Linked DNA regions of Arabidopsis thaliana. The protein of the gene in region 2 interacts with the protein of the main gene of each other region in a biochemical or structural test. Each region holds a gene or a part of one and is shown on either strand. Other genes may lie near its edges. The genes, in order: WRKY57 and IAA29.

Region 1 (6,709 bases), on a different chromosome or scaffold from region 2:
AAATAAACATTGACCTTGTTGTTGATTGTGGTTGTCTTGGTTCAAAACCGGAATTTTATATTTTAATGTGAACATAATTGTGCGTTTTGCAAATACTTTTAAGTGGAGTTTTGGCTGATTAAGAACAATTAATGTCGACAATTAGCATGTTGACATATATTTAGTTCACAAGTCGACATTTATTTTCTTGATTTAAAATGTGAACTTAATTTACCAAAACGGAACGGTTTTTACACATTTGCTTGGCGTAGCTAGAAGTTGATATGTACGTCACTTCAATACATTCATTAACTTTGAACGGTTCATTGAAAAGCAAGACTTTGAATGTCTTTGGAAAGATTTAATTTGTTCGGATCAAAACATTTTTTTTTAGCATAAATAGGATTGTAATTTTTAAAATATGTAAACTGAGTAATTCTGATCATTAGACTGGTTTGTCTTCTGATTTAATGATCGTTTACGTCTCTTTTATATTTTGGCCTTTTGGGAGACAACGAGGCACCGCAATGGTTATCGTTTTCATCACGTAAACGAAATTCCGTTCCAAACCAAAAAACGATGATAAAACCATAATATATAGTCTAGATCAAAATGGGTAAAAGTCAAACATGATTGATGATTACCACAAATTTCGTCTTTTTTACCAACGTACAAAACATGTTAGTTACATGAATAGATTATCACCACATTCACAATGGCATGTCATATAAGTCGATGCTGTTCGGATTATCCATGCCTTGACCACGTTATAAGATATTTTCACCAAAGCAATTGATAATCTCTTTTTATAAATTACGCATCGCGAATTCTGTTCTCCAATATGAATTGGGGATATTCTTGCAATCTGTAAAGTTCATATAGATATATATCGCCCTAAAGTTATAAAGATAAAAGTATAAAATAATTGTAAAATTGATGAAAAGAATAATAAAAAATAACGTTATTTCCTCCATGTTCTTTTTCTTAAGTGCACATACATGCATCAAATGTGGGATGGATCCACGATTAAGATTAATGTTGTGTTACATCAAAATTATACCTGGATATATAACTACATATATAACAAGAAATATACATGAAGAAATTGCAAACGTACCGGTGGTGTGCTATTGATCAACAATGAGGTAATATATAGATCCATTGTTACAACGCCATATTGTTATACCCTCCCTGCGCATATTCTGGTCTGCAATATCTTCTATATATAATGAGTTAGCACCTCCTTAGCTATTGCTACGTACCAAGCTTACCTGGGAGATTAAATCAAACAAGGCAGATATGTATATATGTTACATTTCATCTTTGGAAATAGCATATGTTAATGTCAATGGTGTATAATTTGGTAAAGTTGATCTTATAAGAAATGTTTACAAATCAAACTATATATACGTAATTTAATAAATAAAAAATATATGTACACGAATTTACGTATTAAAGGTTTCAATTGTGGAGCTAGCTAAGATGCTCATACGTCTCTTCTACCTCATTTTCTTCCTTTTTCCTTTATTGGCTGTCTTTGGCTAAAACAGAAAGCATTTATTCCTATGACCTAACACATTACCCTCAGAACTTATCCTACATGCTTCGCGTAGTACTTCTTGTAAATATGCTTGTACATATACTGATATACATACACATAGACATAAGAATGATGCACCATGCAGGACACAGAATCACGCATATATACATGCAATTGTGAACACACACAAAAGGTTATAAATGTAAATGGAAAAGCCATTATCGTGACACTGAGTGGAGTAGTTGAGCTTCGATTTAAATATTTGTTGACATTTCTATAAACCCGCCGACCCATTTTGGGCTCGTCTCTATCAGACACAAGTAAGCCTATATATGCCTTATAGCAAGAGGGGTGAGACAAAAGGCACTATTATACCAGTGCTTGATCCTTATACAATCACTCGTAAATATATACATATATATATATATATATATATATCTGTGTGTGTATTTAAATATATATAGAGAGAGGCAATCATCCACTTATTATATATGCATGCATCATCCAACTTTATAATATGTTCTGCAAAAATGAATACTAGAGAAAGAAAAAGCACTGGCCGACATATCTATCGAGTGATCTAAATTGTTCCACAAGAGAGATAATGGTTCGCATCAATGATTAGACCAACACGATATTTGATCCTAATATTCATAAGTACATCTACATCAGTTAGACTTTGTTTCTGTCAAAGCATGGGAATTTTATCCCACCTAAGACATCCCTTGATGTGGATTTTCAGCTTCGGCCTAAAACGAAAAACCGTTTATCCCTTTGTGGTCCATTTAAAGTTTTTAAACCCTTGCATACCAAAGATATATATATTTGATCTCTTTATAGAGTTGATCACTCCTAAGACTATTAATGCACGAACATTAACAAATACAACAAAAAATATATATAACATGTAAGAAATTACCTCAAGGGTTGCGCATAGTTTGAGGTACAATATCACCAAGTAAGCCTTCCTCTGATGGAGTAGACACGGCAGGTGTATCTTCAGTAGTAGGTCGGGGTAACCGCGGTGAAGGAGCATTATTGTCTCTGTGAAGTTGATGAAGGAGTTCTTGGTAATAATAAGGATTTGGTAATGGAGGAGGGAGATGATGATGAGAAGTGAAGCTATGTGGGTCGTGTGCAGTGAGGATTCCACCACGAGGGAATCCAATGGTTTGATGGCAATGTTGTCCTTCGTATGTTGTGATCACTATCGATGGATCATCTGATGAACGTTCTACTCTCTTCTTCACCGTGCATCTGCTGTTTGTGCATCTATAGTAGCTCCTATATATCACAACAACAATAAGAAATATAGGTTGCATATCCGTTAACTAAGAGAATGATCAAAGAAACTGATGACTTATATACGACCTTGGGAATGGGCTATTCTTGACGGCTTTTTGTCCATATTTACGCCATCGATATCCATCTTCAAGATTATCCACATCACTCTTGGTCATGAATGCGAATCTTGGTTGCCGAATTCGCTTTTGAGCCTTCTTCTTCTCCTTCACTCTAGAAAACAAAGTATATAACCATGCATCAATATCACAGAGTAACCAATTAATCAAGCTATCAAATTCAAAAAAATATCACAAAACATGGACTCCAATCCTAATATTGCACAGTCAAAACAACCACGGAAAATAAAAAAGAGAGTTTAAAATAAAACGCAATTAACTTGAACATCTAACCAAAAAAAATTGTTACTTGACTTCAAATGCTTGCTATAACGTTTTCATTAAAATCATCCATTTTACATTGCTAGAACATTTTCATCCATCTTTTAAGTGAAAACCCTACATACGGAACATCTTATGAAACAACGATTGACGAGACAAGAATTGTTAAAAAAATCAGAGTCTTTTTTAATAACTTTGCTAGATAGATACTATGTAGATTAACATCATTAAAACGTGAGACGCTTTTTGACCTAACATTAGTATAATTAAAAAAGAAAAGGAAAGGACGAGGAGAAAAAGAAGATGTAGAGTGCACGCTAATATCACAGCCGCTATTGCGGCGGTGTTCCTCCCATTCCTCCATCATCATTATTATTTACTCCAACTGCCACCGACGATTCTTTACTTAATTACCAATTTCTCCTTCCCTCTCCAAAACTTCTAATGTACTACTGTACGGACGAACTCATCACTCTCTATCTTTCTTGCGATGCCAAAGAAATTACTCAAAAGAAAGAAAATAAATGAGAGAAAAAATGGGGCTTTTGGCTTTGGCCTCAAGATAAAACTAAAACCCTCCCCACCACCAACACTAAGATAATGAAGTAAATTACGATCGGACCCCTGCAAACAAAAACACACACGTGTTTCTCGTCTCAGTAAAAAAAACTCACGGTGTCTCCGGTGGTGGTGTTTTCTCGGCGGAGGCGGTTGAGTTCTCGGCCGGATCTTCACTTGAACTTGAGGTAGCTGAGGGATTATTATTAGTAGAGGTAACGGCAACGGAAACGGCGGCGGATGAGGAACAAGAAGAAGTGACGGTGGTAGGTTTGACTCCGGTGGTTTGTGTTAAATCGGAGTCGAATCTGAGACTGTGAGGATGATCGGAGGAGTGGTGGAGGTTCCAACCGAAGTCAGAGAGGATATTGGAAGTGTCTCGGTCGAAGAAGTCAGAATCTTGAGCTGTGAGTGTGAGTTCTCTCCAAGCAGAGTCGTCGTTGCTCAGATCGGGATTATCAGGATCGTTCATGATGATTGATCGGCGAGAGAAGTAGTGATAAGAGAAGATAGAGAAAGAGAGGTAGAGAGAGAAAAAGAGAGGAGCTAGGGTTTGTTCTTGATTGGAAGAGAAAGAAAGAAAGAAAGAAAGAAAAGAGAGTGAAAAAAAAACTTTGAAACCCGTTAAAGTGCAGTGTCTCGTCAAGGACCGATCTCAGACTCTCTCTCTCTTTGTCTATACGAGAGATTCTTTTAATTTATTTAATTTTTGGAAATTGCGTAAACACAAAATATATTAATAATAATTCAAGAGAGAGAGGGAAAAAAAAGAAGAGAAAGTTGAAAAAATGGAACGTCAACGTCAAAAGGGTCAAGTGAAACGGAACGGGAGGCTGCTAGTAGCGGAGAAAGTGAGAGGCCCACGTCTACTTTTTGAGTCCTATAGATCGACGCCTATTTTTAGACTCGGATTTGCATTTACTCTTCAATTAACATAGATGATGAGACTTCTTTCACTATTGAAATTGGTACCACTAATCCAATTGTCCAAAGAAGGACGATTAGCAAGATTTGTTCGTTTTATAGTTGTTGGTTCATCGAGACTTTTGTTTTTATGTATCTACTACTATTAGTCGATGTTACTGTTGCAACTATGAAACAAACCTAATTGAGTTATTGGTCATTGTTGATGTCGTGACTCGTGAGCGATTACGAAACAAACATACTATCAGAACCCTAGTTCGATCTGGTATAATTTTTGTTGTATGAGTCCATGGGATTCCTTTTTGTGGAAGAAAAGAAGCTTCAACTTAAAAATACCACCTACTTGTTTGTGGTTCGGATGACTGATGATGCGAGGATAAAAAAGCATAATTTTTTTTTTTTTTTTTTATGAAATGAGGTATAATTGAAAATGAATAAAGTATATTTAAATTTTGATTGAAAATTAGTTAGAAAGTAAATAATTGGTTTCTGCGTGTTGTCCGTGTTGGATATGACAAGAATCTAGCGAATGTAAACCACAAACAATTAACCGGCCACGTGGAAATTCTTAATCCTCATAAGTCATATATGATAATTATCTTATAATCATATTCACATGTTATTCCTTATTTATATTCCCATAATTGCAATCCATCAAACAAACGTTTCCGGTCGCACTCAGACTCAAACAACCATATCTTCGAGATTCATGTAAACGTTCCCTGTGGAAAAACTAAACAACATCGTCTTTTAAATAAAAAAGTGTCTATAAAATCAGCAGATGAATCGATTTTTGTTTAAATACATGCACGGATTAAAACGAGACACATGTCTACGTGATGTCTAACCATTATTAGAATATTGTTGAAATCATGTAACATATGTACCACACGCTACTACGCTAACAACGTATATATAGAATCATAGATACAGCTGTAATACAAGTTGTGTTTTAAAATTATGATTATAGAAAAACAGTTAACTTTGTCCATATACACTTTTGTGAAGATATGTGGATATGAATAATTTAGGTTCACATGTGTTTTTTAATCAAAGAATTAAGTATCAATACACATCTAAATAGCAACATTATTCTTTACCATTTTTGGGTTTGGTCTATCGATCTCGGTGCTATTATAACGCTAGCATCTACGTCGAGAATCGTTTGTGCGTACACGCAAGAGGGACACCTACTTGTATTTGCACAATCCATCTATATCCTCGTAGGCCCTTTGATTCGATATACATATCCTCGATAAATTATAAATAGTGGATTATGAATAGGAAGTATCAATAATGGTCCTCTCTAAAAAAAAAAAGGTATCAATAATGGGAGCAAATCATGTTAGAAATCAAATCAACATAAATATTGATTTGTAAATTTATTATATGATATAAACCGTTAACTTGATTACTAATTAAATGGAGTAAGTTTTTTAGTTTAGCTATAAAAAGACTGACCTATGTTTTTTATATATCATTTAAATTTGTTCTCAGTTCTAATGTGATATATGTAAAAAGGAAAATAAAATGATTCAACAAAACCGGTACAACGCATAGAAAATATGGTATTGTCATCTATTTACATATCACTGTTTCTTACCAAAAACAGACCATTATTTGTTTTTGTACCACTATTTCTCACTACTATATCTCTTACCGATTAATAGTATAGATGCAATCTCTTATTGTTAAACATTTTTTTTACCGATTAATTTCCATTGATTTATACTTCATAATCTTATATGCTCAGTTTTTTTTTTTATCATTTCTGATTTATAACTTATACACGCATATTAATAAGTTGGAATTCAAATTGTGATAAATAGTGTTGCGGCTACAAGCCCCCGTCACTAGCAGCTACAAAAACTACGTTTCCTCATATCATTCTTCATAAAGTGTAAACCTAATTGAACATGAATGAAATCATTATTTATAAATGAATACATCAAATGCGAGCAATTTGTTATTCGACTATTTTGTATCAAAAAAGAAAATAATTAATTGTTCTGTTTGTTTGTGTTTC
Region 2 (4,030 bases):
TCATAACTTTAGTAGATCTAAAGTTGTGTTTCTCTAAATTTCACTAAAATATCTATTTTCCTTATATAAAGATTATGTTTGTCATATTATTTAATTTAAAGATTATAAACTTATGATATAATTTTATGCAAATTGTAAATATAATAACCATTTTAATAAAAGATTTTCTTATATATCATTCATTATTGATTAATATTTTAATCTAAATTACGCATTTTAAGCTAAGATCAATAATATTCATTTTAAATTTTGTTATCAGCTATTCAGCTAATTAAATTGTTTAAGAAATGTATCAGTTTTTATGTCATTTTTTTTCTGTTTACTCATGCTTTTTTTTTTCCCCTTGTTTACTCACAATTTAAAATCGTACTCCGATCTAATTCAAACCAAAATTTAATTACTTGGAAATCTCTTGAATCACATAAAGTGACATACTTACTTGTGTAAAACCCGGACGTCCGCAACCATTACATTCTTATGGTTTCTCAATCAAACAAGTCTATGAAAAAAAAATCAATTCGGTACACACAAAAAGTCTAACATCTTAATTATTATCAGCTAGTCTGTCTTTGACAATTCATGAGTTTTTTTTACTTTTGAATTTTCTTTAGCTTTTTGTCCATGTGTTAGCCATGGATCAGATAACAACAGATTATAAACCATTGGATTTGATACTAAGAACTAGAAGAATAGAGGAAAAAGATCGAGTGGAAATTTAATCAAATGATAGACATTTTAATTACAAAATAAAAAATAATGGTCCGATTTGAACGCCTATCCTTAAAACAAACATCTTGTATATGCACACGGTCGATCTCTAATTATTGATATCCGATGAACAGATTCCGCAAAGATCCTACAAAACCAAAACAACAAGTTAAGTATCAATATATAAGAAAGAGAGTATAGTAGTCATTACTCAATAAGTCATTTTTCTTGAAATATAGAGAAGTAAACTTACTTCCATGTAACATCCCCTCGAAGTAGCCAGTCACCCTCTTTCCCTTGGAAGGTGAATGTATAATTTGTATCTTCTCTGTCGCAATCTTCATCTGATAACCCAAAATTAGATTCAATAGTAGTAAAAAGTTACGTTCTATTTTCAATTGTTTATAGGTTTCTTACTCTAGATTTTGATAAACGTAATTAGTACTTACATTCGGTAAACATAGTGATCAAGGAGTTAGTGAGGGACTCGTAAGAGTTAAAAAGCTTGATATCCACTTTTCTTGCTATTGCCACACCATCCATCTTAACCTTAACATACATTGATGATCTTGATGATATTGACGAAGAAGATGATGATCCCACAGTAGCCGTTGTTGGATTAGATATGTTGTTGTTCATCGCCGTGATCCTCCTACCACGATGATGATACGGGCAATGATGGTGATTACGAATATGACGATGATGATAACTACCATACTTTATCATACATGTTTTTACTGGTGGCCATCCAACAACTTCGCTATTTTCCTCCTCATCACTAAATATTAAAATTAATTATATGTTACAAAAAAATACAAATTATGCCTCTCCATTGAGTTAACTACAAGTCTACAACATCATAACATTTTTGAAAACTACGGAGTCATTTATTATATAATAATACTAGATGTAACTACTTTAACCTAATTGTTGTCAAATACTAAAATAGTCAAGGTACTCACTCGTAAACTATTGAAGACTCGGATTCCAGAGGATCTTCGTCTTCCTCGTTGGGCTGGCCATTCAAGGCAAACAAACGCTGTTTTGGCATATAACAATTTTCCTCCACATTCCCTAACCCAAACGTCGCCTCAAAACGCAGTTTTTCGGTACCCAAACAAGACGCAGCACCCTCGATCGCACAATGCTTGTTGAGGTCAAAGTTAAACCCTAACTTGGAAGATTTATGAGGTGAAAGAGATAGACCAAGATCCAACTCCATTTCTAAGGCAGCTTCGTCTTTGATGAAACTAAAAGCTTTTGTTCTTTTATTATTGGCTTTGGAAAAGGTTGTGTTCGTTGGTGTTGATTGCTGAATTAGAGGATCATGAGTATTCCTATTTATAGTAAAAGGAAATGGGGGCAGAGGTCAAGGAGTAATATATGGCTTTATCAAAAATATACATATATATGTATATAATATTATGTACATTTTATGTAACCCACACAAATATAGATGTGGATAGATGGTATCTTAACCAACACGCTACTATTTATTCTAAACAACTAAAACAGTAATCATTCAAGTATTAGAATATACTAGTAATTTATATCGTTAAATTCTGAACTTTTAGTTCTATATCTTCTTGGCCCATAATATAGAACATATAGTTGGCTAGGATAATTATTATCTTAAAATGTTTCATAGTAGTATGTAAATCTAGACCCAACATGACTGAAGTAACGTTTCACCAGATAACTTATCTTTTTACGAATATTCATCTCTATAAGATCCAATGAAGTACGAAATCATATAGTTTAGGAAGTAACACAAAACCAATAGTCTATACCAAAAACAGGTGATACTAAACAGTTTTAGATTTTCTGATTTTTATGAATATATGAAATTTATGGCTTTCACGTTAAGCGAAAGGTAGTGAGGAAGTTCCTAGTTCTCCGAAGGAAAAAGGTCTTTTGGGAGAGAAGTAATGGCTTCCGACATTGATTAAGTTCGGGTCGGCCAATATCCCAACATTGATGCTAACACATTTTTACATTATTTTATCTAAAGTTTTATGCTTTTCTGCTTTAAATACATCTTATAAATTTTATTTTTATATTCAAGATCCACCTTATCTACACTGTATAACAAGTTCTCACCTACTTTTAATTTCAAATTTTGATCAAAACATAACATTATTACAAACGATTATATCATAAATTCCGCTCATTATATAATGAGCAAAACTTGCAAAATAAATTTATGGAAGGATTTACGGCTGCTAACTTGTGTTAGATGTGCGTCTTTAATTCATACTTTTGGCAATATGACAATCAACATATTTTAAAAAAAAAAATTAAGCATGTACTAAAAGAATGATAAAGTGCATCTATACTAAGAAATAAGAAGATGCATATTTCGTCAAGAGACACATGATTCAACGAATTTAGACATCCAACATCAAACCAACACGAATATTAGTAATAGACAAGTTTGGTTAATGTTGGAACGGACAACGTCCCATATTTTTGTTTACATTCTATGTTTCCAATAGAAAATTTGGTTTCGCACGGAAAAGGTGGAATTTAAGAATCATTGTATACAATACTATAAATGTGATACTTAAACTGATAACTGTAAGTAATACTCCTAGCAAACTCTGATTTTTCAGCTTGTCATAACTTTTGTTAACCTTTTAAGAGACAAAACTATCACTAGACATTTATAGCTTGACTCACTATACAAGTATTGACTTCATCAGTTGCAATTTTGTGGGGAAGAGTTGGATCAAATTATGAATAAGGGCTATTAAGTACGGTTTGCCTATCCTGAGGTACTTTGCTCTATATGGGAAGGAACATAGTTATTACTTTTTATAAACATAAATTTTGACAACTGTTGTTTTTATTGTAACCAACAAATTGAGGATCTTTATAGCTTATAGTTTCTTTGGATTGATTACGTAAACTAATTGAAACGACTAGTACCTCCTCCCCTATTTGACTAGGATACAATCATACAACGTAACAGGTTGAATTGCCGACATATGATTTTATTAAAACCAGTGTTTAAAAACTGATATTAGACTATCTGGTCGAACCAAATTCATTTATAAACAAAATAAAGCAACACAATTACCATGAAGACTAGAAAAATACGATAAGTAAAGCTATAAAAATATGGTGTTGTTTCAATTTTTAATTATCTTGTTTTACTCTTAATATTAGATAATGATATTTTAGCTGTATGCTTGACATTGACATATGTTTTGTTTCCATTTAAGAATAAAGCACTGTTGGTACAAGGTTATATGCTGTGTCTTAACTCTTAACACAATATTATAACTTAATCCACAACCTTTATTAAGAACTAATTTCGTAA

What was found.
Region 1: the proteins of IAA29 (region 2) and WRKY57 form a complex in vitro, tested with the Arabidopsis thaliana proteins (one study listed by BioGRID).

Annotation. Positions count from the first base shown.
Region 1 is NC_003070.9:26,053,679-26,060,387, forward strand, and holds WRKY57 (WRKY DNA-binding protein 57), read right to left. Parts: upstream 4,706-6,709; 5' UTR 4,232-4,705; coding exon 3,876-4,231; intron 3,035-3,875; coding exon 2,891-3,034; intron 2,804-2,890; coding exon 2,440-2,803; 3' UTR 2,439-2,439; exon of another isoform or gene 2,362-2,438; intron 1,251-2,361; 3' UTR 597-1,250; downstream 1-596. UniProt on the Arabidopsis thaliana protein: Transcription factor. Interacts specifically with the W box (5'-(T)TGAC[CT]-3'), a frequently occurring elicitor-responsive cis-acting element.
Region 2 is NC_003075.7:15,581,379-15,585,408, reverse strand, and holds IAA29 (indole-3-acetic acid inducible 29), read right to left. Parts: upstream 2,078-4,030; 5' UTR 1,931-2,077; coding exon 1,671-1,930; intron 1,487-1,670; coding exon 1,158-1,486; coding exon of another isoform or gene 1,147-1,157; exon of another isoform or gene 1,053-1,146; coding exon 962-1,052; intron 857-961; coding exon 781-856; 3' UTR 511-780; downstream 1-510. UniProt on the Arabidopsis thaliana protein: Aux/IAA proteins are short-lived transcriptional factors that function as repressors of early auxin response genes at low auxin concentrations.